4 linked regions of the Arabidopsis thaliana genome follow. The protein of the gene in region 2 interacts with the protein of the main gene of each other region in a pairwise test. Each region holds a gene or a part of one and is shown on either strand. Other genes may lie near its edges.

The links.
Region 1: the proteins of ABCI12 (region 2) and AT4G35080 interact in a protein complementation assay, tested with the Arabidopsis thaliana proteins (one large-scale study listed by BioGRID).
Region 3: the proteins of ABCI12 (region 2) and PDLP8 interact in a protein complementation assay, tested with the Arabidopsis thaliana proteins (one large-scale study listed by BioGRID).
Region 4: the proteins of ABCI12 (region 2) and AT1G30080 interact in a protein complementation assay, tested with the Arabidopsis thaliana proteins (one large-scale study listed by BioGRID).

The regions. Positions count from the first base shown.
Region 1 is NC_003075.7:16,694,843-16,702,488, reverse strand, and holds AT4G35080 (high-affinity nickel-transport family protein), read right to left. Parts: upstream 4,156-7,646; 5' UTR 4,106-4,155; coding exon 3,800-4,105; intron 3,634-3,799; coding exon 3,562-3,633; intron 3,269-3,561; coding exon 2,477-3,268; 3' UTR 2,168-2,476; downstream 1-2,167. Other genes in the region: CAT2 (catalase 2), read left to right, coding at 78-854, 937-1,026, 1,128-1,195, 1,285-1,378, 1,493-1,552; AT4G35070 (SBP (S-ribonuclease binding protein) family protein), read right to left, coding at 7,102-7,623. UniProt on the Arabidopsis thaliana protein: Together with CGF2, essential protein which supports female gametogenesis and embryogenesis, probably by securing local energy supply.
Region 2 is NC_003074.8:7,599,738-7,607,467, reverse strand, and holds ABCI12 (cobalt ion transmembrane transporter), read left to right. Parts: upstream 1-3,568; 5' UTR 3,569-3,747; coding exon 3,748-4,110; intron 4,111-4,220; coding exon 4,221-4,337; intron 4,338-4,419; coding exon 4,420-4,656; intron 4,657-4,741; coding exon 4,742-4,906; intron 4,907-5,006; coding exon 5,007-5,082; intron 5,083-5,150; coding exon 5,151-5,215; intron 5,216-5,306; coding exon 5,307-5,459; 3' UTR 5,460-5,646; downstream 5,647-7,730. Other genes in the region: AT3G21600 (Senescence/dehydration-associated protein-like protein), read left to right, coding at 82-248, 370-454, 580-733; AT3G21590 (Senescence/dehydration-associated protein-like protein), read left to right, coding at 1,679-1,883, 1,953-2,026, 2,297-2,418, 2,546-2,712, 2,829-2,917; AT3G21570 (proline-rich nuclear receptor coactivator), read left to right, coding at 6,761-7,171.
Region 3 is NC_003074.8:22,438,726-22,446,359, reverse strand, and holds PDLP8 (plasmodesmata-located protein 8), read right to left. Parts: upstream 4,590-7,634; 5' UTR 4,326-4,589; coding exon 3,599-4,325; coding exon of another isoform or gene 3,582-3,598; exon of another isoform or gene 2,987-3,581; coding exon 2,844-2,986; 3' UTR 2,757-2,843; coding exon of another isoform or gene 2,752-2,756; 3' UTR 2,486-2,751; downstream 1-2,485. Other genes in the region: AT3G60730 (Plant invertase/pectin methylesterase inhibitor superfamily), read right to left, coding at 96-287, 372-785, 952-1,405; AT3G60710 (F-box family protein), read right to left, coding at 4,888-5,238, 5,319-5,459, 5,605-5,899, 5,987-6,162; AT3G60700 (hypothetical protein (DUF1163)), read right to left, coding at 7,213-7,498, 7,585-7,634. UniProt on the Arabidopsis thaliana protein: Modulates cell-to-cell trafficking.
Region 4 is NC_003070.9:10,548,455-10,556,692, forward strand, and holds AT1G30080 (Glycosyl hydrolase superfamily protein), read right to left. Parts: upstream 4,842-8,238; 5' UTR 4,714-4,841; coding exon 4,641-4,713; intron 4,525-4,640; coding exon 4,182-4,524; intron 4,010-4,181; coding exon 3,286-4,009; coding exon of another isoform or gene 3,268-3,285; exon of another isoform or gene 2,864-3,267; coding exon 2,777-2,863; 3' UTR 2,401-2,776; downstream 1-2,400.

The sequences.
Region 1 (7,646 bases), on a different chromosome or scaffold from region 2:
TCAGTTAGTAGTTTGTAACATTTAAGAATGCTAGCAATTACTTATATACTAAGCAAATGATCATTCTTTGTATGCAGGGGAACTTTGATCTTGTTGGAAACAACTTTCCTGTTTTCTTCATCCGCGATGGGATGAAGTTCCCTGACATGGTCCACGCTCTTAAGCCGAACCCAAAATCTCACATCCAAGAGAACTGGAGAATCCTTGACTTCTTCTCCCACCACCCTGAAAGTTTGAACATGTTCACTTTCCTCTTCGATGATATCGGTATCCCACAAGATTACAGGCACATGGATGGTTCAGGTGTCAATACATACATGTTGATCAACAAAGCTGGCAAAGCTCACTACGTGAAGTTCCATTGGAAACCAACTTGTGGAGTCAAGTCTCTTTTGGAAGAAGATGCAATTCGTGTTGGAGGAACCAACCACAGTCATGCGACTCAAGACTTGTATGACTCTATAGCTGCTGGAAACTACCCTGAATGGAAGCTCTTTATCCAAATCATTGATCCTGCTGATGAAGACAAGTTCGACTTTGACCCGCTCGATGTGACCAAGACCTGGCCTGAGGATATCTTGCCTCTTCAACCTGTTGGACGTATGGTGTTGAACAAGAACATTGACAACTTCTTTGCAGAGAATGAGCAACTTGCTTTCTGTCCTGCAATTATTGTCCCAGGGATACATTACTCAGATGATAAGCTGCTTCAAACCCGTGTCTTCTCCTATGCCGATACTCAGAGACACCGTCTTGGACCAAACTACCTTCAGCTGCCAGTCAATGCTCCAAAATGTGCTCACCACAACAACCACCATGAGGGATTCATGAATTTCATGCACAGGGACGAGGAGGTACTTAATAGTACACTATCAATATCTTTATATCGAACTTGAAGCTAGAATACCATAGTCTTACAAGAAGCTGTTGTTACAGGTTAACTACTTCCCGTCGAGGTATGACCAGGTTCGTCATGCTGAGAAGTATCCAACTCCGCCTGCTGTCTGTTCTGGAAAACGTGAGAGGGTCAGTAATCAACTCTGTTTTCCTCTCTGTTTCTGTTTCCCATGGATTGGTTCACTTAAGAACATATGATCTAAAAGTTTCGAAATCTGTTTTTTTTTCAGTGCATTATTGAGAAAGAGAACAACTTCAAGGAGCCTGGAGAGAGATACCGTACCTTTACACCAGAGAGGTACTAATTGTTTTATTTTTGTAATGATGCTTAATGCATAAAAGGAACATCTGTGTTCTTAACGTTTTACGGTATGTTTTCAACTTCAGGCAAGAACGATTCATCCAGAGATGGATTGATGCCCTATCCGACCCACGCATCACGCATGAAATCCGCAGTATCTGGATCTCTTACTGGTCTCAGGTCTGAAATCTTGATCTCTGTTACTGTCATTGTCTCGTTCTTCAAGTCTCAGCAGTTGAAAAGTTGTCAAGTTTTAAACATTTTTGACTGATTGGTTAAAAATGTGTGAAACAGGCTGATAAGTCTTTGGGACAGAAGCTGGCAAGCCGTCTGAACGTGAGACCAAGCATCTAAAACGAGTGAAAGAATTCTTGATTGGCCTTTCTGTGGTTGTTAATTAGCAGAGAAAAGAAAATGGGAAGAGATCAAAGTTGCGATAATACAATCTTCATCATGTGGATCTTCTGTGCTATGTTATAATAGTATCTGTTTAAAGACCAAAAGAACCTTGTGTGTTGTTGTGTCTCTCGTTTATCAGAATAATACATTATACATTGAAGATTTATAATCCGTGGTGTTACTTGATGAAAGCTCCTTCTTCCTTGAAAGATTGTGACATATTCTTATATATTTCTCATATATTAACGAATGTAATCCCGTAAGAGCTGTCGACAAAGACGTGATTTTTAGTCTGCATGTTCTGGACGAAAGGGAATAGCAAAGTATGAAACGAAAAAGACAAGAAAATCCATAAATTCTTATGTGTGGGTATTAGGGAATTTACAATAGTTGTCAATATGTGTTGTAACAGTGGCCACATTTGTGTATAACGTCGTTGTATCAAGTGTGGGGTGTCGAGAGTCTTTAGATTTGGTGTGAATAATCTGACAATTTGGATTTGAACTCTGCTTTGACATCCTGACATTAGAAAATAAACTTGGTTTTGACATTTTGGGGTTTGTATTTGTGACAAGTACTGTTCAAATGATATAAACAAGAATGACTTTTTAGTTAAAATTTGATAATATTACAAAGTATGGTTACATGCAGTTGATCGATAATTCAGAACCAAAACCAAACTTCTCTTAAAAATAAGGAAAATAAAAAGAATCACCAAATGGTTTTCTCCGAGAGGAGTTTCTGAAGCAAGATTACGAGATTTTGTTCGTACAGGTGACAATAATACGAGTGATATGGACCCAAAAAAACCTCTCTTTCTTCTATAAGAACTACAAAGATTTCAACTTGTCTCATTTACCTGAAGAAGCTTTTACTTTCTCAGTAGAGGCTAAAACCAAAGAAAGGGCTGATGACAATTCCCAATCCAAGACCAATAGCCACAAGTGACGAAACCCAAGTTAGTTTCTCTGTGATCCTTGGAACTTTCTCTTTCAAAGCCTCACTGCAAGACCCAATAAACGCTGTGTAACTTCCCATCGCTATAACTGTCCCAACCAGAAACATTATCAAAAACGCAGACCCTGCTAACCGTGATGGGAGAGCTAATGCAGGCAAAACAATCATCAGAGCATCCGGTTGCAACCCGTGAACCACTCCAGTTGCAAATGTAGCAAACCCGATCTTCTTCTTTTTGGGCAGTGGTAAGGCTTCTTTCTCTGTTGATACCATGCTGATGTCGGTTTCTAAAGCGACACAAGGTTCTGGAATCTCAGAAGCTTCCTTGATTCCCATAGCACCGATAATAACAAGAGTCAATCCCACAATTCTTGTACCCCAAGTTTGTAATACTTCAATGTGAAGCCGGTCTTTAAGTAGCAGAAACAGTAAACCAAAGATGACTTGACCAGCATCATGCCCACATCCCCAGAGAGCTCCAACAGCAGCACTTTCCATTTTGCTGCGTCCGATCGAAAGCGGAGCTAAAGCAGCGAGGTGATCAGGTCCTGAGAGCGTGTGCAAGCAACCAGCAAGGAAACCGGTCCACGCACTTGTTAGCCAACCGGATTTAGCTGCAGTTTGAAAGCTAGCGAAAGCAGGTGGTGCAAGAAGCGGGTTAAGCAAAAGCACAGCTACTGCAGAGATTAGTATAACGGTTCCAGTAGATAACGTCTGCAAAGAAACACAGATATATATTGATCTGGTAAACATCCATGAGACTACATAAGAGGACAGCGAACAAGCACAATTCCAACACACAGACTAATCAAACAAAAAAGAAACTAGATTGATTTGAGTTCTATTGTTCCAACAAGTGTGGAGCTTGAAATTAGGGACTATCAATATCTAACATGAAAAAGCAAGTTCAATGTCAACAATATCGAATTAGCTCCCGAATCCTAAAACAGAGAGAACATGATTCCATGATTCTAGAGACTGATGGATAGTAACATATGTAACCCTACAAAATTGGAACTTTTTGTAATTCTTGGAATCTTCTTCTCGAGCAAACTATATACAAACTTTTCATATGTTTCCTGAATAAAATCAAACCCCATTAAAACCCATAAACCCCAAATCTAATGTAAGCCAAGCTCGTCCCCAAAACTATACGAAAATGTGGAAATTGAAACATTTAGTAAGCATCGACGTAAGCATCCAGAGATTTCTAATTACCACTGAACAAAACGTGAAATTGAATACCTTTCGCTGCTCAGAAGCCGACGTCGCGATCCGTGTGAGAAATCCGGGATTAGGTTTCGATTCATCCGATTTGGGAGACCCATTGAAGGAATTGTTAGTTGTGTTAGATCCTATAGGCGTATACAGTGACGGAATCTGGGAACTGTTGCAGGAAATTGAGCTGACTCGGCGTGACTCGGGCCGGTGAGTCGAGACAAAGCTCAGACCCGATGAGCGGAGACGGGGAAGGAAAGGAGAAGTCCGTGAAGGGAATTTGGAAGGAGAAATTGAGGAAGAAGAAGAAGATGGTTGAAGAAGCCTTTCCATGGCGTCTCCTTCTCTCTCGGCGAGGCAATGAGTCTCGAAACTGAGATAGAAGAGAGTACGTGCGATGCTCTGTTTAAAGGATATACGATTTTTGAAAAAAAGGAATTTTTATATAAATAAGAATAATAATAATACTGTTAACGAATTAATATTTCTGTTTTTTTTTTTTATCTACTATATTTCAAAATTGAAATCACAGTGAAAAAATTAAGATAAATCTTTAAATTATTGCACTATACCACCTTAAAAATTGTTGAGTTTTACTATTAAATAAAAATGCTTAATTTCGATTTTTCAAGGGTTTAGGTAAAAGTTGGATTCGACAACTGCGTATAAAAAGCCGACTTGCCTAATATTCTTACGTTAATTAGCAATGAGACAAAAGATGTGAACTTTTAAAACATGCCATAGTTAGATCGAGCTTTTAATAAAAGACGTATGTTTATCCTATGATCGAACGTATAAAAGTAAACTCCAAAAACCATGTTATAGCCTAATCCATCAAATGTATAAAATATGCATAATAGTTGGTCAGGCCAATATGTGAAATACATGAGGATGTTTGTTGGAAAATGTCAAAATTTTCGCCTACCAAAAGGAAAAGTAAAGCACATAAATATGGAATCCACGACGCATCCACTTTCTTTCTCTTCCTTGCTATTATTTCCTCATCTGCTTATAAACTTTACCTACCTCAATTCCTAATTCCTAATTGCCCAATTTACAATCTCGATATCGAAATTTGTTTTTTAATATGGTGCAGTAAGTTAATAATAATCGAAATGTTTTATGAGATTACAAATGCATCTACGTGGCTTGATATGAAATACGTAAGCAAAAAACTCTTAAACATAACATTTTGGAGTTATTGCAAAACAATCCCAATAATTTGTATCTTCCCAAGATATCCTCATTTCTTTCGCATAAAATATGGAAAACTACGAATGCGACCAGTGGTGCACATGTAATAAGTTTAAAAATTATTATCCTTTTAAGAAGCAAAACAAACAACATGTGTATAAAGAAGAGTTCAACAACTAAATACCTCTACCATCTACAAATCAAACGAAGGTTAAAACAAAAACGATAATCGAATTAAATTACATAGTTAAAGTTGTTAAAATATCATGATATTGATATCCCTAATCGAGACATGGTATTGAATTTTGATATTGACATCTTGTGATTAAAAATCCAATAATCTTCAGTTCATAACAAAAAAAAAATCCTTTGTCGAATCATAGTAACATATAAAAAAAATATTGAAGTCGTTTGTTACTTTGTTGATTCCGTCTCTATTCGTCCATTAGCAAATTGAGTAATGATGATGTTTATGTACTTTTAATACCTGACGTATTAGTTCCAAACTTCACGTCGTGTTAAATAAAATTAGTTGGCAATCCAGTGAGTCCCACTTTCAATTTGGGCCGAGCACTTGGGGGGTAAAATGGGCCGGGCCATGTGTTTATACGTAATCCACATAATTAATTACCCACTTCGGAAATCAAAACCTATAGCAACATTAGGCGGTTTGGGTTTGCAATTTCTAGCTTTTCAACAAAGAGTCTAAAATCACTAAGGTCTTAAGGCTAATTGGGTCTTGAAGACTCAAAGCCGTAAATAAACACACACTGACACACAAAATCTCTACTAGTAGAGCTATATGACACGAAACACCCTACAATGCTAATCACCTCATCCATAGCACATAGGACTGACTGTTTATTTGTGTTTACGTTAAAAGTTTAAATCATTCTATACATAGAGATAATAATGTTTGCGTAAAAAAGTTTGTAATACTAATAGATGAAATAAATCCTATGAACAAGACAATAATCTTAAATTGTCCCAAATGAAACTTAAATAAGATTTAATTAATCTTTATGCGTTGCCTTTTTCACTATTTTCTACAATCTTGTTTATTGATAGTAGTACGATCTAATTACATAATAAGGTTATACTTATTGTTTATTTATAGGTATTAGGGAGTATCTAGAAAACCTAGGTAGCACAGATCTGTCGAAACAGAGATCGAGAATCCTTAATGAAGGAAGAAGAAAGGCCCAAGTGTTCAATGAAACATGTTTCTGTTTAGGAAAGTGCGAGAACTCAAATCCTATGGCAGGCCAAACTCTGATTCTCTTTCAATTTCTATTTTTTTAATGTGGAATTATTACTTACTATTGTGCTCTCATGTCACTGTACTATATTGATTGTTGAGCAACCCAATAATACTTACAGCTTCCTCCAATACGCGTGTCTACGGCCTCTACTACCACCTCTTTTCACCATCTTCCTACATCAAAACAAACCCATTAATATATAATGCTTCCTTTCTTTTTTTTTACTTTTTCATTGCTTTCTTTTTTTTGTTCAAAAGAATATAACTTTTTTTGTTTTGCTTTCTATGTAAATTAAAAGACATATGTTTAAATTTGATTTAATTGATTTTTTTATAAATGAAATTTTTTAAAAGATATGTTTAAATTGGATTTCATATTAGTTTAGAATTATTATTCTTTCGGTCAAAAGTTTCTAGTTTTTTGCTTATTAGGAAGTGTTTAATATAGGAAAATCTTATACATATAATCATTAGGAAAATGTATATTAAGATATTTAATACTAATGTGTTTAAAAATCCTAAGAAGTTAATTATCATTGAAATAGAAAGAATGGCATTCAAACTTTATATCCGAAAATTCATTAGATAGAAGGAAAATATGAATTATGTTCATCAAATCCAGCTGGGTTCCTTTTTTTTCTCCATTGAATGGAAAAAGAACCAAAAAACAAAAAGGGAAAATGAAAACCCTAATCAGAATTTACTTCTTGAGATAACCTTTTACTATTTCTAACCTTTCCCTATTCTCACTTTCCTTTCCTCCCCTATTTTTACCAAATTACCCTGCCACGTCATCTACCCGGAGTAAAAACTCTCCGTTCACCGGAACACAAAGGCAAGCATTTTTCCGGTGAGAGAAAAGAAAGGATTTTCCCTAGAAAATGAGGGCCTCGATTCTGCTTTTCTTGGGGGTATTACAGATCGGACAAAGAAGAAGCCCTTCCTCGCAATCCATGCAGCAACAGAGATGCCTACACGGCAGAAACAGAACTCTCGTTACTCCGTTAGACCCACAATTGCAGCAACAACTACTCATCTTCATCTTCTTCGCCGGCAAACTATTCCCGTCTCCTTCTCCGCCGCAAAACGACCCTTCGTCCTCCACCTCTGCCTCACCAGCGTCGTAACACGTGGCGGCTCTCTCGCGAACCTGTTCGAGCGTTGTGTTAAGCGTTTGCACAATTGCTTCGTTCTCACGAGCCATTCTCTGCCACGTCTGATTCTCCATTTCCATTTTTCTCAACAGATCTTCGAGTTCCATGTTCTTGTTCAATGCTTTCGACATTTCTTCTTCCTTCTGACTCATCAAAAGCAAAGCTTTACTCTCCATTTTCCGTAAAATCATCTCCATTTCTCGCTTCCTCTGTTCTTGCAACACATATCTCAACCTCTCGTTCTGTTATCAACAAAGCAAAAAAG
Region 2 (7,730 bases):
AAAGAACAAAGACATAAATTGTGGTTTTTGATTCGTTTAATATCTTGGCTGCTGTGTTGGATGGATGTAACATGTATATAGAGTGAGGAAGCTGTCAAAGGCGACTGAGAATCTGAGCAAGACGATGTTGAATGGTGCGGGAGTTGTGAGCGGCTCTGTGATGGTCCCTATGATGAAGTCGAAACCAGGGATGGCCTTCTTTTCGATGGTTCCAGGGGAGGTCCTCTTAGCTTCACTTGATGCCCTTAGTAAGTTATGATATATAACTATGTAAAATCTTTTTTTGTGGTCAAAAACTAGAGCAAATAAAAGTTATGGGTGTGAAAAAAAAAACTTTAATGAGGTGTAATGTTTGGTTTGATCCAATAGATAAAATACTAGATGCAACTGAAGCTGCAGAGAGACAAACTCTATCTGCAACATCCAGGGCTGCTACCAGAATGGTCAGTGAGAGGTAACATTTTCACCTTATAATCCTCAAATCTAACATGTGTCCATTGAGAAGTCATTAGTGATGATACACATTTTTAAGAGTTTTAAGGTGATAATAAATTAATAATAACATGTTTGGCAAAACAGGTTTGGAGATAACGCAGGGGAGGCCACCGGAGATGTTCTAGCAACAGCGGGCCACGCAGCTGGAACTGCCTGGAATGTTCTCAAGATCCGTAAGACTTTCTATCCTTCATCTTCTCTTACATCAGGAATCGTCAAAAATGCTCCAAGAAAGTGATATATAGTGGGTTATAGTTTCAGTTACGTTTATCAATGTATGATCGATGGAAACCCCCAAAAACAAGCTCAGTTTTTATATTTAGATTCTCTACATAATGTGGACTCATCAGCTATAGTTTGTAATGTATCAATGAGCTACTCAAAATGTCATAAGCTCTACAAAGTATGTTAAGTTTTATGACAATGACTGTATTGATTATGTCTTCTCGAGATGATGACAATATTTATTTAACCTTTGTTCAAATACATTTTTTTAATATTTTATAGGAAAACTAATACAACTTATTACATGTCAAAACTAGTGTAACCAATTACACAAGTAGTCCGATTTGGTATAAGTACAATATGAAAAACTGGTCAAATTAAAACAATTAGTTTTTATTTGACGCCCTCTTCCTAATTACATTTCAATCTGTTAATGTCGATGGAAATAATATGAACGATTTGATTGCGTAGAACTAATTCTATTTGTCAACTATTGAAACAAAACATATAAAACTCAATTTTGGGGGAATATAATTCATCAGAGAAGAATAACACACTTGGGATTATGTATAACATACCTTAGGAGAATGATATCACAAAACACCAATGTAAACTCTACAAAAACCAGTTAAACAAGCAACTTGATGAAGTCTTGGAAAACATAACACGTATGGTCAAATTTAGAAGTTGTTTCTATAGATGAAATCATATATTAAGAAAAGGTATTCTCTCATCTTCTGTTGAAACAACTTGCTAGTTATACAACTAGAAAATTTTACTTATTCTTCACTACCAAGCTATATGATCATATTTTATGGTCTTACATTTTTGTTGGTTATTAATATGATCAAATGGTAAGTGTTTACGTCATTACCTTCGATCATCCAACATTATATAGGAACGAGCCTCACATATAAACCAAACTTAAAAGTACTACTGTACTAAGAAAGAAGACACAATGTCCACATCAACCCAAGAAAACCAATCTGCCCAAGCGGTGAACGAAGAAGTTTTGTTGGAGAATCCCGATTACGGAGTCCAAATCGTCGATAAATCCGAACTGTTGGAGCTAGCCTTGAGTTTCTTAGGGGAAGACGGAGAAATCATGGAAAACCCTGAGTTTCTTGGAGATATCATGGGGGAGAAATCTTCAAGTACTTCAGGTAAGAACAACAATGAAATTGATTGGAAAAAGTTTGCACCGAAGGCTGAAGACTACAAAAATGGTGTAGCCAAGGCCATCGCGGTAGGAACAGGGCATATCATCAAGGGAATCTTCACTTGTAGCAATTCTTACTCTAAGAAGGTCTCATACATATAAGTCCCTCTCATGATGCTTATGAGTGTTAATAGATGATTGTGATTTGAATCGAAATATTTGTTGTAGTAAAGAATCATGAACTTCCAATTCAAACCCAACTTGTGGAACGACTTATGTGTTTTATTTACTAGTATAGATCATCTTATTTTTGTGTTGGATTTTTAAAAACTTTTATATGAACATGGAGATGTAAGACGCACATATTGTAGTATTTTTTATTATTAATATCGTTTTATTTTCTTACAACAAAAACAGATTCACGAGGAAGGAACGATTGCTGAAGAGGATGAGGAAAGAAGTGGTGACATATCACAAATTGATGGAGGTGGCAACAATGAAACTAATAAGAAGAATAAACTCAACAAAAATCTTCAAAGGTATTCATATTTTAATCTCTATCCCACAAAATAGTATATATTATACCAAACAATAAAATCTTGGTTCTTGTTCCTTCTTATAATGAACCAAATCTTGGTTATTTTGTTGGATGTAACATATACATAGAGCGGAGAAGCTGTGGAAGGTGAGCGAGGCTATAGGAATGGCGGCCTTAGAAGGTGGAGATTTGGTGAGCAGTTCGATGATAGCTCCGGTGGTTAAGTCGAAGTTAGGGAAGGCATTGTTATCCACTGCTCCAGGAGAGGTTATCTTGGCATCACTTGATTCTTTTCGTAAGTTACATAGAATAGCTCCATTAATTGTCAATCTATACTCATATTCATTTATTTTGAAGTTTTTGAGATCAAAATTTAAATAAAACAGATAAACACTTTGATGTGGTCAATAGATAATATAATTGGTGCTGCTGAAGCGGCAGAAATACAAACTCATTATGCCACATCCATGGCTGCTACTAGACTTGTGAGTAAGAGGTAAAAAGCTCACTTTGTGATCCTCAATTTTGAGAATGAATTATGTTTCTATAGTAACACACCGGTATTTGAATCAAAAGAATGATTATATCGGTAGAAAATAAAATCGAAGTTGGTAGAATTATTGTATAGCGTGCATACAATCTAATAATTAATTACCAAATAGTTTTGAGGGGTAGCTAATGATTTTTAGAGATAGGTTATCATTTTTATTTGTTAGGATTGTTTAGATGAGTTATATAACATGTTTACATGACCATCGAATTTTACAATTTTATACATTTATTGAGTTGAGTGTAACACATATTCACATTTTTGTGATGACCGCACCAAAGTTTTGGAGAGAAAGCCGGAAAAACCACCGGAATAATACTGGAAACAACGGGCAGCTTAGGCCGAACCGCCTGGAATATTCAAAAAGCTCTCGAGCCAACTTTTTCCATCACCTCAAAAATTGTCAAAAATGCTCCTAGGCAGTAATATGTTATCTATCTTAAAAGCTAAGTTACATTTTCATATGCTGTATTGTATCAAATTACTTAATCTTGGTTTTGGTGTGGCTATGACTCTACGAGAAAAGATTTATACAAAAAGAGTGTGAGAAAATCCAAAACGAGTCTATATATACATCAAATTCGAACAAGAACCGAAATCCAAATTTTGGTATACTTTGACTTTTGTTATTATGAGAAGTTGAGAACCACAGTCAACGTCCGACAAAACCAACAAGTACAACAGTTTAACACTTGACAGTTTACAGTATCTCTCTCTCTACCAAGTACAGAATTTCCCGCTCTAGGGCATATGTCTGATCCAATCCGAAATTGAAAACTCATGAATCACTCCAATCTTGCCAATCCAACAGTCTCCCTCACCGTAACCCTAATCCCCAAACACCCAATTCGTCATCTCACATCTCCAATTCCTAACCGGAACTTTACAAACCCTAAGCTTCTCTTCCCGCTCCGGCTTAATGAGACTCCTTCCTCCTCTCTCGCCGCGAAAAGGGTTTTCATTGTCAGAGCCACCGTCGACGGAGACGGTAAAACCGGTAATTGGGTGAACCGGTTACCAATTCCAGGACTTGGAGCCGAAAACGTCTTCAGATTGATTTCAAGCGCCACCGGAAGTCCCATCGGACAATTCATATCGTCTCCTGTGACATTTCTCCACTCGGTGGATCCCAGAATCAAATTGGTATATTGAATTCTTGATTCTTATCAAATTTCTAATCCAATTTTGTTAAAAAGTTTGAGTCTTTTTTTTTTTGTTAAAGCTTGAATTTTGGTATTTGTATATATGTGTAGGTATGGCTATTAACTCTAGTAGTTCTTCCAGCAAGAGCAAATCTAGTTGTGCGTTTAGGACTTGTTCTATGCACAGCTCTTTTGTCAATCCTTGTTCTCCCAAGACAAGTTTGGATAGTGAGTTCTGTTTCTCTGTCACAACTCTGTTTCTATATGTGATCTATCTGCTCTGCTGAGTTTCCTAACTTTTTCTGTAAAGGATCAATTGGCGAGAGTGTCGCTTCTTTCGGGTATTCTCTTCATAACATTGGGGCTAGGTTCAGATGGTGCACCTCCAATGCTTCAATCAAGAACACCACCATCTTCAATCACAAGCTTGCCTAATCTTCCCATGTCTTTAAGCGGTTATTCGTACATGTTACTGAAGCTTGGTCCTTTGCAATTCACAAGGAAAGGTTTGTCTGTTGGAAGCACAGCCGCATGCTTAACCTTTATTGTAAGTCGGTTTTTCGACTTCCGCGGTTTACCTATTTCCTTTCTTGATTAGATCACTTAATGGAACATTTGGTTTTTGGTCACAGATCTTCCAAAGTGCTAGTATTTGCCTTGCAACAACAACACCAGAGCAACTTGCACTAGCTCTACGTTGGTTCTTGTTCCCATTGACATATATTGGTGTTCCAGTCAGTGAAATTATCCTCACGCTACTGCTTTCACTGAGATTCATTAATTTGGTTTTCGATGAGGTAACGACTGTTCACTTATTCGCTTTAATATTATCAATCAGCCTAGTTATTCCAAGTCCTAAACCACATAATGGTACGTTGTGCATATGTTACATTGTAGGTCCGAAGTGTTTCACTGGGAATTGTATCGCGAAGAGTAAACTGGCAGCAGCTTACTGTTCTGGAGACACTTGATAGTAAGAATCTAAAAGTTTCTTCTCTCTTTCTATATACATCTCATCTTACAAGTGATCGCTTTTTGTAGTTTTCGCGTCATTCATACGCCGCATCTTCAAGAATATATTTCGTCATGCCGAACAAATATCACAGGTCAAATAGATTTCACTTATTATCATCTCATTGATTTGAGAATCAAATAAGAATTCTCTGTTGAAGAAGTTTGTAATTTATGTGCATGCAGGCCATGATTGTTAGAGGCTTCAGAGGAGAGAGCAGTAGCCACAAGATCTACTTCTTCTCTGGCTCTTCGAATAAGTTTGCAGATTTTGCATCAGTTTTGTGTTTAATCGGTGTAATCTCAACCGCACTCTTGTCTGAATACTTTCTTGTCTAATATTGATTCATACTAATCTTTATTCGAGCTAAACTTGGAACATAATTCAGAAGAAAAGATGATCTTGAGGTAGAATCTCTATCATGATCATCCAAATGTTGTATGTGATAAATTTCTTCCCCAATGTGTAAGATTTCGTTGGGGGTCCGGTTAGGGTAACACAATACAACTTTGTTATGCTCGCCGACCAAGAAACTCATCCCATCAGCAAACATATTCCAACTCGGATTAATGGTTTGCACTGTTGAGAACTTGCTCCATGAGATGACTGAATCCATACTAGTTGTCACCCATACATTTAAGTCTTGTGAATGTGTTTCATCATTATAATAACCTAACACTAACAGACAAAGTTTTCTATTTTTGCACGAAGAAATTATACCTAATGAAACAAATACCCTTTAGAAAAAGTGTAAGAAATTGCCACATTTCTTCTTTCAAATTACGTCAAAAATACAATCTATACTTAAAGAGTTAAGAAAGATGATCCCAAGCCAACCAAGGGCGTGATCTCTTCAATCTCACTCGATAAAGTCTGGTACACCCTTGTGTGATTTGATATGGTTTTCGTGTCCAGAAGAGACAAAGGCAGACGAAAACAGTGTCTCACATCTTTTTCTAGAAAATAACGGGTCAATGTCTTCCCAAGCCACTCGTGCTTGCTTCTATAAACAACATCAATCTTGAATTCTACCAAAAACACTCAAACTATATTTCGGCAATATAGTTTCTTGCATTGGAAGCAATCACTTGTTTCCATCATCACAGCTTGAAAAAGATTTGTCATTGGAATTAGTTCATATTTACAGTTCTCATTTAAAACATGTCAATATATGTAGTCCAATGCTTGTTTGATTAATCCCATAGAGCAACATTACATTAATTCAGCAAAAATTAGATTTGTGGAAAATCAAATTTAAAAATGGAAAAACGGACAGGGAAACAAACTAAATTAAACAAAAAGAAAAATAGAATTATGTGTTTAGGTTACAGATGCATCGTTACGAGGAAACGAAGCTCTGACAGAGAAGCCATTTTCTCCATTTTTGTCATCTCTTCTAATTTCTTCTATTTATTCCAGTATTCCATTAACCAGCAAAAAAACTCATAAATTAGATTATTTGTAGATTTTAACCAATTTACAAAAATTTCGAGCAGGAATCGAAGAAAAGGACTATTTGACCCTTTTCTTCTTCCTCCTCCCTCATTTCTACCACCACGATTTCTTCTTTATTTATTAGCCGCCGAAGGGAATTCCTCCGGCGCCATTTTTTATAATTTTTTTGTTTTTATCTTTAGAGATGGGAACCGAAATTATCAGGCCTCAAAATTGTTTGGTTGACCGGATGAGAGATTCTCCGGCGACTTTTTTTAACTCCCGGAGGAATCATTTTCACCGGAAACCGCCTCTCAAACCTGATCAAAGGAGAAGATTCGGTTCCGATGAGTTCAGAACGACGACAAAGAACATTGTTAGGAGAAAAGGAGAGTCTTTTGACTCATTCTCAAACATCAAAGTTCGTAAATATTCACCGGAGGTTTCTGCCGATGATATTTATGCCGGATCTTCGATATTCGCTGTTTCCCCAGCGCCAAGCTCGTTACCTTTGCCGTCTTTCTCGAAGAAGAAAGCGAAAAGCCAGGTTGTTGTCGTTTCCATTGATGACTCGGCCTCTCAAGATCTCCGGAGACTTCTCCGGCTAAAGTTTTGAGACTATCAATTAAACGAAAAAGTTATCGAAATCGTCAGTTATTTAACGGTTAATATATAAAATCTAGGAATCGTCTCCGTTACTGTTTTTTAATCTTATCTTTCCTTTAAATATCTTGTTTAGAAAGGGATGGGTATGAAAAAGATTGAATTAAAAGTATGGGGTCAGATTTAGAAATTAATGTTAAATATTAACTGACTTTTTTGAATTCTTTGTGTAATGTGGAAATTTAAAACTGAAATCCTTTGAGATCCAAATGTGAATTAATTAAAACGATATGGGCTGAAAGAAGTATTCGTTTGAGGCCCAATAAATATATTTAAGTTTAAAGCCTTTTAGGTGTCCACAAACTGCGTAGAAGAATGGGAGGATTTTGATCAGGTTTATAGCTAGATTTTGTGCACAGAAGCAGTTTGTGATGTGGTTTCGATTGGTGTTCCGCATAATGGCGTCACGACGTTCTTAATGCAGATATATAACTATGGATATAATGCTAAATAAAACTTAAAAATGCAAGATTTGGCCTAAAAACACAAATCAAAAATTTATTATGCAAATA
Region 3 (7,634 bases), about 15 Mb from region 2:
TATTCCAAAATTTCCCAAAAATTCTTAATCCATGTATGATCATGACTAGCTTCCATACGAGTTTAAACAAATGGTACATAGATTAAAAATAATACCATAAATATGACAATCGCGGTAGAATTGACGAAGTGAGTGCGTGAAAAGAGTATCTTGATATCCTTTGAAACTACACCGATAGAATAAAGACAAGTCTGAGCTCACTCTCAACGCCACAGCTTGATGTTTATGTGGTCCTGCAGTATTCTCGAACGTTATGTCCCGTGCCCAAAATCCATCCCCGGACACTCCTATATAACGAGTAAGCGCAGTAATTATTCAACATGCATGATCTATGTATGAAGATTAATAGTAGAATTTTAAATATTTTATACCGAATGTCGCTGATCCATAAGTCGTGGAACCGTCCGGGACGTTTCGGTTATTGGTGACAATTGTACGGTCCATACCATCACCAACTAGCATGATGTTTTTCATGTGTCTATCTATTTCGATTTTTTCGTTATAAACACCAGCTTTTATGTATATTATCACTCTATTCAACCGACTTTTACCCATTCTTGAAACGGCGGCTAATGCTTGGTTTATCGTCCGATGAGTCGCCGAACCGTCCCGAGCCACCACGAAATCTGCCCTTGAACTTGTTGGATTCCATGACACTAACATTCCACCGTTTTGGTTTGGTCTTGATGGTCCATGGTGTGATCTTCCTGGTCCATGATTTGGTCTCGTTGGTCTATGTTTTGGTCTCGTTGGTCCATGGCCCTGTCTCGCTGGTCCATGCAGCCCTACCAAATGTTATTAGAGATCCATAATAGATAAACCATGATATCTCAAACAAAAATTTACACTTATCTTGGAGTCTACAATCGTTATTTAGTGATAAAACAGAGCGATTTATTGTATCATTTTATTTAATTATGTATACATGAATGTATGTGTAAGTTTTCTTACTCTTTTTCATATGACCTCTAGACTTTTTGTAGAAAGCCAAAGCTTCATGGAGCACGAACGTGACGTTGCTATGGACCAAAGGCTTATGACCTTGACGTTGCTGAATTAAACCGTCTAAACAAGTGTGATGATTCGCAAGCACGCCACTTAGCCACGTTCTAACATCTTCAACGGTGAAATTCTCATGATCTACGACCAGTTTCGATAGCCTAGCTTCACTCTCATCGTAGAGCTTCTCGCATTCACTTAACCCCAATTTATAATAACTACCAGCAACTTCACTAGTTGCCTCAGTCACAGCCATTGACCCAAAACTAGTCTTGGCTTCAACCACAGCAGTTCTAGCCATTTCAAGTACATCCAACTCGGCTGTGTTTGAGGCGGTTATGACGGCAGCAATGGCTAGAAAGAACATGATAGTGATTAAGTCGGTGACTTTTACAAACGTGGACATTTTTAGTAAATGTTATTATAAGATTGTTGTAGTGTTTAGTAATTTTCTTGAAATGCGTTTTAAGTAAATAATTATTGATGTTGTTGTGTATTTAACAGCAAACGAAGAATGGAACTTGTCGTAGAAATGTAGATGAAGATGGTGGCGAGGAATCTAACAGATGGAGAGAGAGATAAGGCACGTGTGAGAGTATGTGTAAGCTTTTGTTTATATGATTATTGATGGCCCATGCATATGAGACTAACTTCATTAATTACGTTATACATTTCAGGTTGTAAATTAGTGCAACGCTCTGTATCAAAGTGAGTAAACGTATACGTCTATGTGTCAAGAACACAACCTTAAGTTGTTCTTCTTCATCATAAGTTTATTATCTTCAAGAGCTGAGAGACTACTATATATACTGGATTAAACCTAAATTTTTATATACTGGTATAGTGATATATAATCATAATCCCATTATTACGAATTTACGATGGATAAGATATATATATATATATATATATATATATATATATATATATAAATAAAAGAAATTTTCAGGATTTGGAGTCAAAAAGAAAAGAAAACAAAATCCATGAATGATCAGTTATATTTTAATAGAATAATATATAAAGTAATAATTTTGTTGGAGTAATATGTTGTAACATTAGTGAAAATTACTATTTTTGTCATGGGTTTATATGTTTTTGGTAAAAGAATTTCTTGAATTAATTTTTAAAAAAATACAAAAAAAAAGGAATGGTTGCATGGAAAATGTTTTAGTCTTTTAGATATGTTACACGGCTTAGAAGCTTAGTAGGCCGAGGCCCAGTCCATAATAATTTAATGGCTCAATGGAATATGTGGTGAAACCCATGAGAACCGGGTAGATCCGGATCGTAGAAAACCAAAGAATTGATTGAATGGAACCTCTCAAGTCTTATAAGCCTTCTTCTTTTTTTTTTTTGCCGGCAGAACCTTTTAAAGTTTAATGATACTCAATCGATCGAATCACGTTGTTCTCCGGAAATGATAATCTACTTATCTAAGTATGAGTATCGAATAATTGCGCCTGCTAAGGAAAGTGGATTTTAGTCTAAAACTAGTTAATGGAATAAAGTTAGCATCTTTTTAAGGCAGACAATACGGGTCACACTATACAAATATTTAATACCTCAAAGCTAAAAATCATTATATCATCAGTCACTAATAGTTTTCCTTTTGATAAACCAAAAATTTCAGCAAGGAACGGTAACGGATGTGTTCCTCCTACAAAATAAAAGGAATAGTGGAATACAAGAGAGTTCAAAAAAAAAAAAACAGGTCCCTAGAATCTTGTATCCCGAATCATGCCTTTCATTATATCAATCTGCAAATCAGATAAGAAAAATTATGAGATCATGATACTTATTTCTAAATATATACTAAAAATGAGTGATTTGATCTTAAATCTTAATCATGTGAAGATTAGGCAAGTAAGTATAGACTTACGCATGGAGTTTCTACAAAGGGAGAGGAGAACAACAAGAATTGCGAATCCAGCAATGACTCCTACGATGATCGCGATTGATTTCCCCACGTGATCTCCATTCGTTGGATCTTAATAACGAAAATTAGATCAAATTTAAAAAGATCTTAATATTGTATGTGACAAATTAAAGTACATAAGATAAGGACAATATAGTATCAAGCTAAGAATTAGATTTTCTAAGATGCAATGACTTTTGGACTATGTGATATTGATCAAGCTATAAAGAATATATAAAATAAAGTTGAAAATGGGGACATGGGTGGCTATGCCTATAAAGAAAAGAATAATATATTGCAAAAACATTCTTTTCTGACCAATGATATTATAATCATGATACTCGAATTTTCCAACGAATGATTCAAAAGATTAATTCTATTTTATTCAATACTTAATGGTGTCTTTCCAGTGGAAATTACAAAAAAAAAAAAGCAACGAAAATTTTATGATTTCTTCAACTTTCTCGTGCTACCAAGGAGCGACTAGACTTGTGATTTTCTCAATTATAAGCGGCGGAAATTTAAATTTTGTCAAATTCTCACACATTTCTATACAGTTCATTACTACAATTTTCAATTATATTATCATGGCACTAAGCATGATTCACGAATATAATTAAAGAACTTACGTAAATTAGAGCAATAGCTAATAAATGAAATAAAGATTTTAATTTATGGACTGACCTGAAGAGAAGTCATAGTAACCAGAGCCCCAATAACGAGCATAGCACTGAGCCAAGTAAACCTCAGCTGCAACCGCCGAGCCACAAAGATTCTTTAATTTTCCGACAGACTCGGCAAGACAAGCCGTACAGTCACTAGGACTCAAGTCACCAACACACTGAGCATAACCTTCGACTAAACCGGACCGGCTAACTTTGTAACCGAGTTGAGTCGACTCAAGATCCGACAACACATCGTCTCTCCGCTTAAAGAAATCGTAGTCATTCTCAACGCTCTTGGAACTACACTTCTTGTACCTAAGACTTGTGTCTGGTTTCCCTAGAAAATCGTTTGTTTCGTAACGTAAGAAGCAGCCTTCGAGCTGGAGAGAAGCGCCGTAAGAGTAAGGACAAATGAGAGTGATTTGATCGACTGAGGTTTGGATGCATTTTGAGCAGTCTGATGATCGGAGATCGTCACGGCATTGATAGAGGCCGAAGACGGCGGAAGAGGATGAGGAGGAGGAGGAGTCGTTGCCGACGGCAAAGCTGTTGAAGGACGCGTCAGAGGAGGAAGTGACGACAGAGGAGAGGAAAGTGTCGCGGTTTGACTCAAAAGGTGTGTTTGGTGTGTATTTTTCCGGTGAACATCCTCCGTAGATGAAGATGTGAGATTCTGATGAAGATCTTGAGGAGGAGGATGAGTAAAAGAATAAAAAGAGGAGAGAGAAGAGAAAGAGTCTTCTCATATTTTCTTGTTCTTTGAGATTGTTTTCAAAGGAGCTTTCGTTTTTGATCTATCTTATTCCTTGTAGTGTTTTATTTAACAATAATAATCGAGAATGATTATTCATCACTATGGGTCCGAAACTTTTATCGGCGACATTAATACAAACATGTATAATGCATACCGTAGTTAAGAAATAAGTGGATATATATAAATGTAGCTAGGATGAATACAAAACTACATAATAGATCAACAAACGTGGTCTAGAACATTCACTTGTAACGAATCAATACCAAAGTGTAGACAAATTGGATGATAACATTATTGTTTTGTTAAGAGTGCCTAAAATGATTTAGACATGATTAAAGAAGATTTGGTTTTGTGGGTATAATAATATCTTGAAACTTCTTTTGTGCAAAGAGGGTCCCATTTTAGGCATGTCCTTTTGATTAGTATATGTTCGCTAGATCGATTCCATCACACATATTCTCATCAAGTTAGTGGAGAATTTTCAAGTGATAGAAACAACTTTCTTTAAATCCTGACCACGACCAAAAGGGCTAATTAGATTGATCATAAGAGATTTAAAGAAAACGACGACTAAAGTGCTTAGCTTCATCAAATGTATAACCTAGGCGAAATTTCGATGCTTCTCGACCTATCTTCACCTCTACAAAAGAGTAATTTTGAAAGGTGAGAATTTTCTCAAGGACGCTGCTAGACTCGTCTTCTTCTTCATCATCTAACCATAGAGTGAGCTTCAGAAGTGTTGCATTCTCTAAGATGTAGTTAGCAACCTCGGTTTCAGCTTTTCGGCTTTTCTCTTGGTCAGCCTTGGGCGTCATTTTTATTTTGACATTCTCAATGGATGTTTGGAGACATTTTGGCACTGGTGAGCTTGCAATTTCCTCCATCTTTGGATAACCATGAAGCTCCTACAAAGGAAAACACCATAAGACATGTATAATATATATAGTCACTCGCTACTCTCAATACCAAGAGAAGGAATCATTACCAAGTCAATAGATTTTAGGTTGGGACTGCTGGAGAGATATATAGGCAACATCTCTGAATAGTCGGTATGGAGAAAAGCGTACAAACGGGTCAAGTTCTTGAATTCAGGCAGTTGTTGCAGTTTTGTGTAAGCATAGGTTCCCTGTCAAGAACCAACACTTGGTAAGAACAAATACATGCATCTAGAGTATGGCCAGAGATGCTAAGATCTGTGACCTCCGAGAACTCAGCAAAAAACTTGTGCAAAGTTTGCGTGTTTGAAAAGTCATCTCCCCATAAAACCGTACATCGATACACATCTTGATAGAAGAAATAACACTTTCCACTCTGAAGTCTTCCAATGGAAAATCTCTGATACGCAGAAACTCTAAGCTAGGAGTGTCAATCACAAGTCCAGATTCTCCATCATCACCCAAGGAGACATCATCATTTTCTCCCTTAAAGATAAATGTCCATAGACTCAAGCTCCTTAACGTCTGAGATCGCACTTTCAAAAAGTCAACTCCAACATCACAAATGCTCAAGACTTGAAGAACAGGAGAGCACGAGATAAGCATCTCTAGAACCACATCACTCGGTGTACTGCGAAACCCTAAATGCATAACCTCAAGGTGAGGTAGATAGAAAGACTCACAACTATCAAAATCATCCAGAATTACATATTCTAACCGCAAGTTTACAAATTTAAGAATCTGTCGAGAAATTAGGTACAAACCAGGAACACTTTGCCAGAGATTTCTCCATCTTGTCGGTAAGACACTTGTCCTAACAGACTCACTCGTGGGAAGATTCAAGAGTATCTCTTGCAGCAACTCATTGGGCAATTGGCTTATCAAATCTTCCATTGGTCCCTAAATTGATCAACAGAACAAAGAGACAAAGACACGGTATTTATTAGCTAAGGTCTAAGAAAACAAATCAAAATTAAACCGCGTTCTGCAACATGAGTCGTAGAAATTTCTAGACCAGTTAACACGAAATCGCATTCATAGAAAGCAAATTAAGTTGAGATCAAGTTCACAATCAACGTACGAGCAGAGCACTCTCAGATATTTCCAAAACCTAATAAACCAAAAAATTTGAGACGAGTTTATGGAAAGAAGGGTTTTGGTTTCACGTTAAAAAAGTATCTTATCTTCTAAAGACTCTGGTCTAAAGAGAGTGTTTCTACTTTTTTTACAATAACGAGCTTTCGAGACATGACTAGGGTATACGTATATCACAATTATTATGTATGAGGTTAATTTCTATTTTTCGTTACTCTTTCTTTCTTATTAATTATGTTTTAAGAAAAAGTTGTATATTTAGTCATTATCTTATTGGAGACTGGAGAGCATGAAACCACACACAAAAATCAAGATACTTGGTCGAGAGAACCAATATCCTAGTCGGTAACCTAAGAGCAACCACATTGGTGAGCTTTTAGCAAATATTTTTAACAATAATTTTATAATTTATTTTGAAATTAAGAGTTTTAATAAAAAAAAATTTTTTAAAAGTGTATTTTGTCTCTTATATAAGAGTCAAATCTTAACTATTTTACCAATTAAATATTAAATTTAAATTTTAATATCTCTAAAAATTATATCAAGAGCCCACCAATGTAAATGCTCTAAGAGCTTGTTAATCCATATATAGCACAGTAGCACTAGCGTTATAATATTTAAATCGAAATGTAGAAGAACAAAATAAATCAAATTAATAAATTATCGTCAATTAGCAAATAAAGATTGAAAAAATTATAAGATTGTTAGTCAAGGGAGAAATCCACACAAAATCTATATCAAACACAGTTTGGTAAACTCTACGAGATGTTTTATATCTGATGGTATGCGTTATCCAAAGTATATTACACATAAAGAAGGTCCAATCTTCATATAAAGTTAAACAAGAAACTAGTGATCATCATAGAGGCAATTAGGATAGCCAACCACAGTTGATGTAATCTTCTGTTCATAACTCGACTCAAATTTCATTTTGACCTCATCACAAGCAAATTTCATGGTCCCTGCCTTATTTTCTCTGCAATCCGGAAGAAACAACCGCAACCCCAAGCGCACTTCGCTTCTCTCTTTAATGTCGTTCACAATGTTTTTTCCAATCGCGCCATTGATATCCTCTTCAGAGACATCCCCTGAAACCTTGAGCAGTTGAGGCCAATGAAACAGAAGATTGTTGTAACTGATCAAGCAAAAAAAAATAGATTTTTCGTTATAATAATATAATATATATGAAGAAAGTTAAATAATTAAAATAGATATTTGAACCTTCTTGGGGGTGAAGTAGCAATGGTAATATTCTTGTAAAGTAAAGAAGC
Region 4 (8,238 bases), on a different chromosome or scaffold from region 2:
ATTCTATAGGAAAATAAATTTTATTCTAGATTCTACTATTTTATTTTACGAAGCAATAAAAAAAAAGTTTTAGATTCTATTATTTTTTTCCATTTAAAAGGATCTTCGAGTTACGTCCTACTTTACCAAAATATAAAGCAATTTTCTCATTTTTATATGCTTAAGTATAACTTTGGATAAATGTGGATAGTGATAATCAACAATTTCAACTCATTCCTCGAGCCCCGAAAAAAAGGAGAGACAATTGTCGCCATTTTTGGCTTGATGCCCGATAAAGAGGGAGATAAAAACACAATTGCCGGACTAGAAAATCAAAACGTGTTTCAGTTATCATCCACATTTACTAGATTTAGCTTTGTTGCAAGTAGAAGATTCAGTGTTATATATATATATATATGAATTAGAAATCTAACGATTTTTATTCTTGCATTATAAAGTCATGATAATTGATATTATATCTGAGCCAAAGGTATCCATGTGCTAACATGGAGTTGAGTTTGATTGACATCTTTGTATAACTAACATGACCTTAACTTGTCTCTCTTACGAATAATTCATTCAATCATGTATACATCAACAAAAATTCTCACTTTTCTCTTTTGATATATTAATTATAGTTAATGAAATTCTTTTGAATTGGACGTTACCAAATGCACATATCTGGCGTGACTTAGTAAGTAATCACAATATCAGTGATTCAGTATGAAGAAAAATGAGACAAAATAAACTGAGCACTCTCTTTTTCATATGATGGTGTGGTCTAAATAATTATTGATTGGGGGGAGGGGGAACGTTAAGTTAATTTTCATCTGTAGAAAAGAGTCAACTGAGTTATATGGTGTCAAGTAGAATGATTCTAGTATTAGCCATTAAAACTCTATGTACATAAAAGAAAAAACTTCGATTTCATAATGAGCTCTAAATCCAAACAAAAGTAACAAAACAAATTCAGATCCAAATGGTGGCGTTATTTAAATGTAACATCCAAAACGTTACTTTTTAAGAAACTTTTTTTTATGATACTGTAAATAAAATTGATGTTCGAATACTCCTAATTATTTTTAATGAATGTTAAACTTACTTATCAAAAAGCCGTTGTTATATCAAGCGCATTGTTATCGGATGAGAGTTTGAGTTTTATGAATTTTACAACTTAAATGCAAGAAGAAAACCATAATTTTACAAAATCCTCGTATTTTTTTGTTCCCTGAATTTTGAAGAAGATCGACTTACTCCTAAATTCTAATGAGTATAACATTAAAAATGTAATCGAGTGAGTATTACTTTAGATATGAACAATACTATCATTTATTTAGCATTCTATATATATATGAACAGTGTAATCTTTCGTCGCTAAATTTACTGGAGCTATATACAAAGATTGTTATTGGAGATTTCCAGATTGAAGCTCAATATAGCTTGTGGCATTTTTAAGTTAAACCGTGATGGATTATACAAAACCAGAAAGGTGTAAGAAAAGCGATGAAGATATTTATTATAGTGTAAACATGTTGTATTAAACAAATAAGTAACAATTGAATCCAGAGAAAAAAGTAGAAAAATAGAAAATTTATAAAAAGAGAGAAAGCTCCTTTGAAAAGGGACGGCCAATGACTATTGTCAAAATGCTGACGACTTAAAACATGGTCGTGGAATAAAGTTGGAACCGTCCATATCAATTTATATGCTTCCTCCTAATAAATAAACTTTAGTTTTGTTTTGATAATTTTTAACTTCTTCTTTCTCTCCCGTTAGAAAAATGGAGCATTCCTCTTTTACATCAATTGGTGAATTAATGAGTATCCACCACACATATGACATATACACATATTCATACATGTAAGATGTGTCATGTATGCATGTATGAGTAGTGTCATGTGTGTGCACGTACGAAGCCATACCACATATACATGCAGATATAATGCATGCATGTGTAAGAGCAGACAATATATTAAAATATCGAATGTTGACGGTGAGATGGAAAAGGAAGGTATCGTATGTCTAAGGTTTATGGATTCCACGTCCAAAAGATAAAAGGTAAAAGATAAAAGAGCCTTCACCTTCGGTGTGACCAATCAATAAATTTCTATATAAAATATATGATATCATCTTTCTTTTTTTCTGTTTCTGTTAAACGATATCTGATGATAACATTATATATCATGTACTTTAAAGTAATATTTGGAGCGTTGAAAATGACAATATTTTCTGCTTAGTAATAATTATTATTATATTCTATGCTTCTCGTAAAAGTAGTACTATATGGGGTCTTCTTTATATCTAGAGTAATTTCTTTAGCTTTCTGAAATATGATTCATATGTAGTACATAATGTGAAATCAAACATTTTAAATGAAATTATGCAATGAATGTGGTTACTAAAATGCCTCAAATGAAATTGTATCCTTTGGATTTAAACAATAAACACGATCGTTCTTATATGATTCATGAATCATTATTGTATACGAATCATTATTGTATACCTTATCAGTTGATGATTAATTTTAGTCACTTTTTATTTAGACAACGAAAGTAATTAACACGTTAGTAAGACAAATACAAATAAAGTTCTATAATATGAATCGTCAGTTTTTTATACATAGGATTCGCTTTGCAGTACTGCATTCCCTTCTCAATTTTTCTGAGTGTTTTTTTCCCCTTTTAAAGAATCATCTGAGACACTTTCGAGAATAATTTAATTCTTCTCGTTGAAAAATTGGACCGCATTAGTGGACTCTCTATTTACACTTAGAAGCTCTCTCAATTTGTTTTTGCTTCTAGTACGATCTTCTAATTAGCATGTGAATGGCCAACAAATAAACGCATGTCCAATACATCAACCGTTGCTTTCCCTTCTTTAAAGCCTGTTTAAATTAAAATATCATAATAAGCAATAATTAAGACCGCAAATTTTTAATTAACTAATATGTATCTAAAAATCAGATGGTGAGGATAATCATAAATATCATGTACTAATCATATCGCTCCAAAAAAAATGTATACTTTATCGCTATTAATCAAGAAATATGTTAAAATAAATATGTTTGGTAAGAATATGTTCTAGAAAAGCCGAACTTTTCAAGTATAAAACGTCACAATTAGAAGAAAGAAACGTCACAATTCTCTTCTTTTTTAGACAACAGGTCAGAATTTGTTTTAAAAATGTTTCTCAATCAAAGCTTTTTTCAAGGGATTTAATGTGCTATATAAAGATTAAAAAGAAAGAAATATGGAAGTAAGAGATCTAGTAGAAACAGAGCAAGTAAAGTTAAATGTTGATACATACCGTGGAGGCAGAGGAAGTGAGGGAAATAATAGAAGTTGAAGAAGTAGTTGATGTTGATGTTAATGATGACGACGATAATAAACCTACATTGTAAGTCATGGTCTCATCAGGCTGATACAATCCATAATTCCTCTCAGAGGTTGGTCCTGGTTTAAGGTCTTCATTGAAAAGAGCAAATAGATAAACATCAAAACTCAAGTTTGGTCTCAATGGCGTTCCTTCATTTTGAAGTTGTCTCCTTAGAATATTTTTGTTATAAACGGCTGCGTTGGCCACAGTGGCTCCAACCTCATCTCCATCGCCTTTAGACGGCCATCCAGTCTCCGAGACCCCAACTTCGATGTCTTTGAAGCCAAGCCTCGCCATGGCAAAGATCACAGCGTCTACTTGAGCGTAGAGCATGTTGTCATAGCGGTACTTGGTATAGGGGTCAACCATTCCAGGGTTAGGGTTGAAGAGGACGTAGTCTAATGGGATCTTTGTTGGGGAATCCTTGTAAGCGAAGTAAGGGTAAGCGTTGATCCAGAAGGGGGAATTCGTGTTACGCAAGAAACCTAGTAGCTGTGTCATTACGCCAGCTACTTCCGGCCTAAAACATCCGGCGGATGGAGGGTAAGATTCTTGAAGGACGGATAGTGAGTTCGGAGTCGATACTTGAATGTACTTGTCTAGTCCGGTTTGGACCAAAGCCCCATGAATGCTCATCATTGCAGGCATAAGATACCTGCGAATCATAGCAATAACGAGGTTGAATACTTTCTTCTTTTTTTGAACTAGAGGATCTCAGGATGATACCCACATGACTACCATGATTTGGTTAGTAGGGCATATTTGTAATGGACCAAGATTTGAAAAGGATAACAATTTATAGGAATGAGGGGATGTATGTAACAAACCCTATAAGGCTTGAGTCATCGTCAGTGTATAGTTCGTTGCCGACGGCGATACCACCGATCTTGGTGGCCGGAAAGTAGGGTTTGATACGGGTAGTGACCCATTGGAGAGCTTGTTGAGGGTCTACTAAGCTGGGAAGCATTTCATTTTCGACGGTGACAAAGAGCTCGATATTGGAATTGGCAAATGAGGTTAACACTCGAGGGTTTGTGTCATAGATTCTTGTCTTATTGATATGGAGTGAACTCAAGAGTTGTAGAACTTTGTCCGGTGGAGGAAGATTGTCGCCGACTTGACCATAGTTGATGCCAAGAGAGGAGACCCTTTGAAACAACAATCCATGTTCTGTGAAAAAAATGTAAGAGAAATTTAAATAATTAAAGTGTAATGACAAACTGAAATTGAGATAATGAATTTTGTTTGTTGGTAGACAGAAATAAGCAATTATTCAAAAACGATACCTAAGAAAGTCAAGGAAAATAGAAGAAGAACGATAGAGTTGGTCATGGCAATTCTGCTAAACATGTTAGACATGGAGAAGAGAGAAAGAGGGAGATAAAGACTGAGGGAGAAAGTGCTTGTAAGAGAATCAATGCAATGAAATGTGGGGATAGATATAGAGATGAAGAATTGAGAAATGGGACCAAGTAGGCGACGAATAATTATTAATTTATAATTTAGAGATAATACTTTACTTTGCCTGCCTTTGTTTTATGGTGAGACATAGGGTTTCTACAATAAAAGTGACAATATGATTAATTCCAAAAATAATTCAATAAGTTATTTAAATTTATACTCGTTAGTTTTGTAATGGGAGTAGGTTTGGCAATAGGTTTATCTTATGGAAGTCTATTGTAAAAATAGATAGTGTTTGCCAAAAACATTCTTTGTGAGGCAACATGGGTTTCATAAAACATTTTGGACCCAAGAAGAAAAAAATATGACATCTTAGATTGTCTCTTTCCAACACATTGCCAACTATGTCAGTCCAAAAAAAAAAAAAAATGAAAAAGTGGCCTAAAAGAAGACACTTTCTTCAGACAAAGGCAAAGGTGGGAAAAATTGAATTGCCCACTATAATAGGTTTTTAATCTTAACAATATGTCTATTAAACACAAAGAAAAAAAAAACATTATGTCTTTGGCATAGAATTTGGAGGATCCCAAATTTGGTAGTTGGGTGAACCAAAAAAATGGAACGTAAAGAGTAGAAATCACACCATCATAATGATAAGAAGGATAGTGCGCTTATCTTCAGTTTATTATATTTATATAGTATTGCAATTTGCATCTTGTGAAATAAAAGCTCTTTTAAAAAACATTGTAACGATTGTTAGAATTGTATTTCACGTGAAATTATAGTATGACCCTCAGTTAATCCTATATTTGATATTCAACGGAGTTTAGTCGCATATTTAAAACTGATCCTACGTTTCAATTCAGAATTTATATACCGTTAGCTTACATGTAAAAGTAAATATTTCTAAATTCAACCTAACTCATCTAGTCAACCCGCTCGATCACAAAAAAAATTAGGTTGCACAACGGTTCATTATTTATGTTTTAGATGAAATAAAATAAATTAATTACTCGATTAATCAATCAATGGAAAAAAACGGTTTTAAACAAGTTTACAAAAAGAAAAGTTAATCAAAGTTGATATGTAAATTTACAGCCTAATTGGCCCTAGCCAATAATTTAGTTGTCTGAAACAATTTTTTTTTTCTTTCAGTTTGATATTAAAACAATAAAAGCTCTAACTATACACCAGGTGATAATTGTAATTCAACTTCATTTTGTACAGATTTTTGGAAGTTTGGGTTGTTACTTTTCTTATAGAACGGACTTCTTACTACAGTATAACCTCTATAAATTAATAACCTTTATAAATTAATAAATTCTTCCGGTCCCGAGTTGGGACTAGTGTAAAAAATGACACAAATCGATAAATTAATAAGATAATAATTTTTTGGAAAGTTCTATGTAAATATATGGTCTCATCGATATCATAAATTAATAATTGTATAAATATATCAACTATATATATATATTATATGTAAAAAATTTCTTTAAAATATATTTATAATAATTTTTTGTTTAAATTCATATTTGTTATTTGTTTGATTATAGTTTTCATATTTTACTATACCAAAACTTTTGTTATTTGTTTAATAATGTTTTCTAGACATTATTATTATGTTTTATTTGTAACTGGTTCTAGAAATATATTTTTTATAATGAAAAAAATCTTATAAATTTTTTTAAAAAGTTACCAAATTAAGAAAATCTCTCTATAAATTAATAAATATTAATTTATCAATAAATTAATACCTCTCTAAATTAATAAAATTTTGCAGTCCCAAATAGAGGTTATACTGTATATCGGATATTGATTAATTTCTGAAAATTTCAAATATATTAAATGGAATAGAGATCTGAAAACATATGTAAAGTAGCCTGCTTTATGAAATGATGCAACAAAAGTGACCCAATTTTATTTTTTTCGTAACCAACCCAAGAATCTAGTAACTTTTTTGTTTTTGCTAAACAAGAATCTAGTAACTTTTGGAAGATGAATTTCACTATAACGATACTTGTTTATTTGTTACATCCTACATATATACATTAATATACAACATATGAATATGCCTGTGTATACTTACTTGTTTTGGAATAAGACAAATGAGCTGATGCATGTGGTGCGCTTTATGACATCTTAGATTCCTCCGATCTGATTCAACAATCTTAACTCGAGATTCTAATGTAATAAAGGTTATAAATTAAAATTAACATATATTGTTAAATCTCGTGTTTTAAAAAGAAAAATGTTGTTATATCTCGTGGCTAATCGAATATTTAGGCGTGAACTAAGCAATTTGTTAGCTGTGTCTGAAATTTTGGATCCCGATGCTTATAGCTTATTCTTAATGTTATAACAGTAAGAGAATTGCTTGATTAACAACGAGGATCGCTTAGAATTTACCATGATCAATAGTTATATCCAAGCCGAGTTTTTCTTTTCAATTAGTCAAAAAAATTTTTCCTTAAATATAGATTTCATGCAACAAATTTGAACATATATAACTTTTAAAGTCTCTTACAATGATTTTACTTCTCTTATGTAAGCAGAAAAATCTTATATTGATTTATTTCTCTTAAGTAAGAAGAAAACTCATCTATTTTTTCTTGCAAAATTGAACGTAGGTTTTCTACTTTGACAACTAGAAACGAAACTTCTTTAACCATTGTTTTTCAAACTTTATCCACCAATATATATCTAGTTTGGTAAGAAAGATAAAGACTGACCAATTTATTTTATTTTGTTGGAAAATAAAAATAACGAACATTGCTATTAATGGGGATAGATGTGATGGATGACTAATGAATTAGTGAGGTTGGTGGTTACGACTTATGAAAAATTCGACGTAAAAGAGAGAGAGATAAAGAGCAAAAAGATTGGTCCGTCCATGTTAAAGCAAAGAGAAGGCACATGTTTAATTACTCAACAAAATAATTGATAATTATGTCACTAACAATCCACTAATTAAACCTTTCGAGTTAAGTAATATGGTTAGGAATCAATCTCTGGCTCCTTTTCAATTTATTTGATATTTCATATGAAAATCGGAAACCCTTCTCTTAGAAACCGAAAATTAATAACAATTCTATGTTATTGAATTGAAACAGCCAACACGCATAGAAGCAAATGCTCTAACCAAAACAAATACATCGTTAATCTCATATGTAAACGTGTAGATCATATACGTCTAACATGTAAGAAAAAAGTGACTGTTTAAAATGGTTGCAGTTTTTTTTTTTTTTTTTTTTTGGTTCTTAGATTTTGAGAATAAAATTAGCTAGATCTTAGCTTTTTAAATAAAAGAGAAAATCTTAAGACAAGAAGTAGGAAAACTTTTTTTTTTGGAATTTTGATTGGAGACTAAATGGGGTTTTGTTTCTTTTTCTCTGAAAACAAAACTTAAAACTTAAGACTCACGCAAAACTACTATCGTTTGGCCGGGAGTTGATGGCCTAGTGGTCTTAAACTCTCCATGTCTTT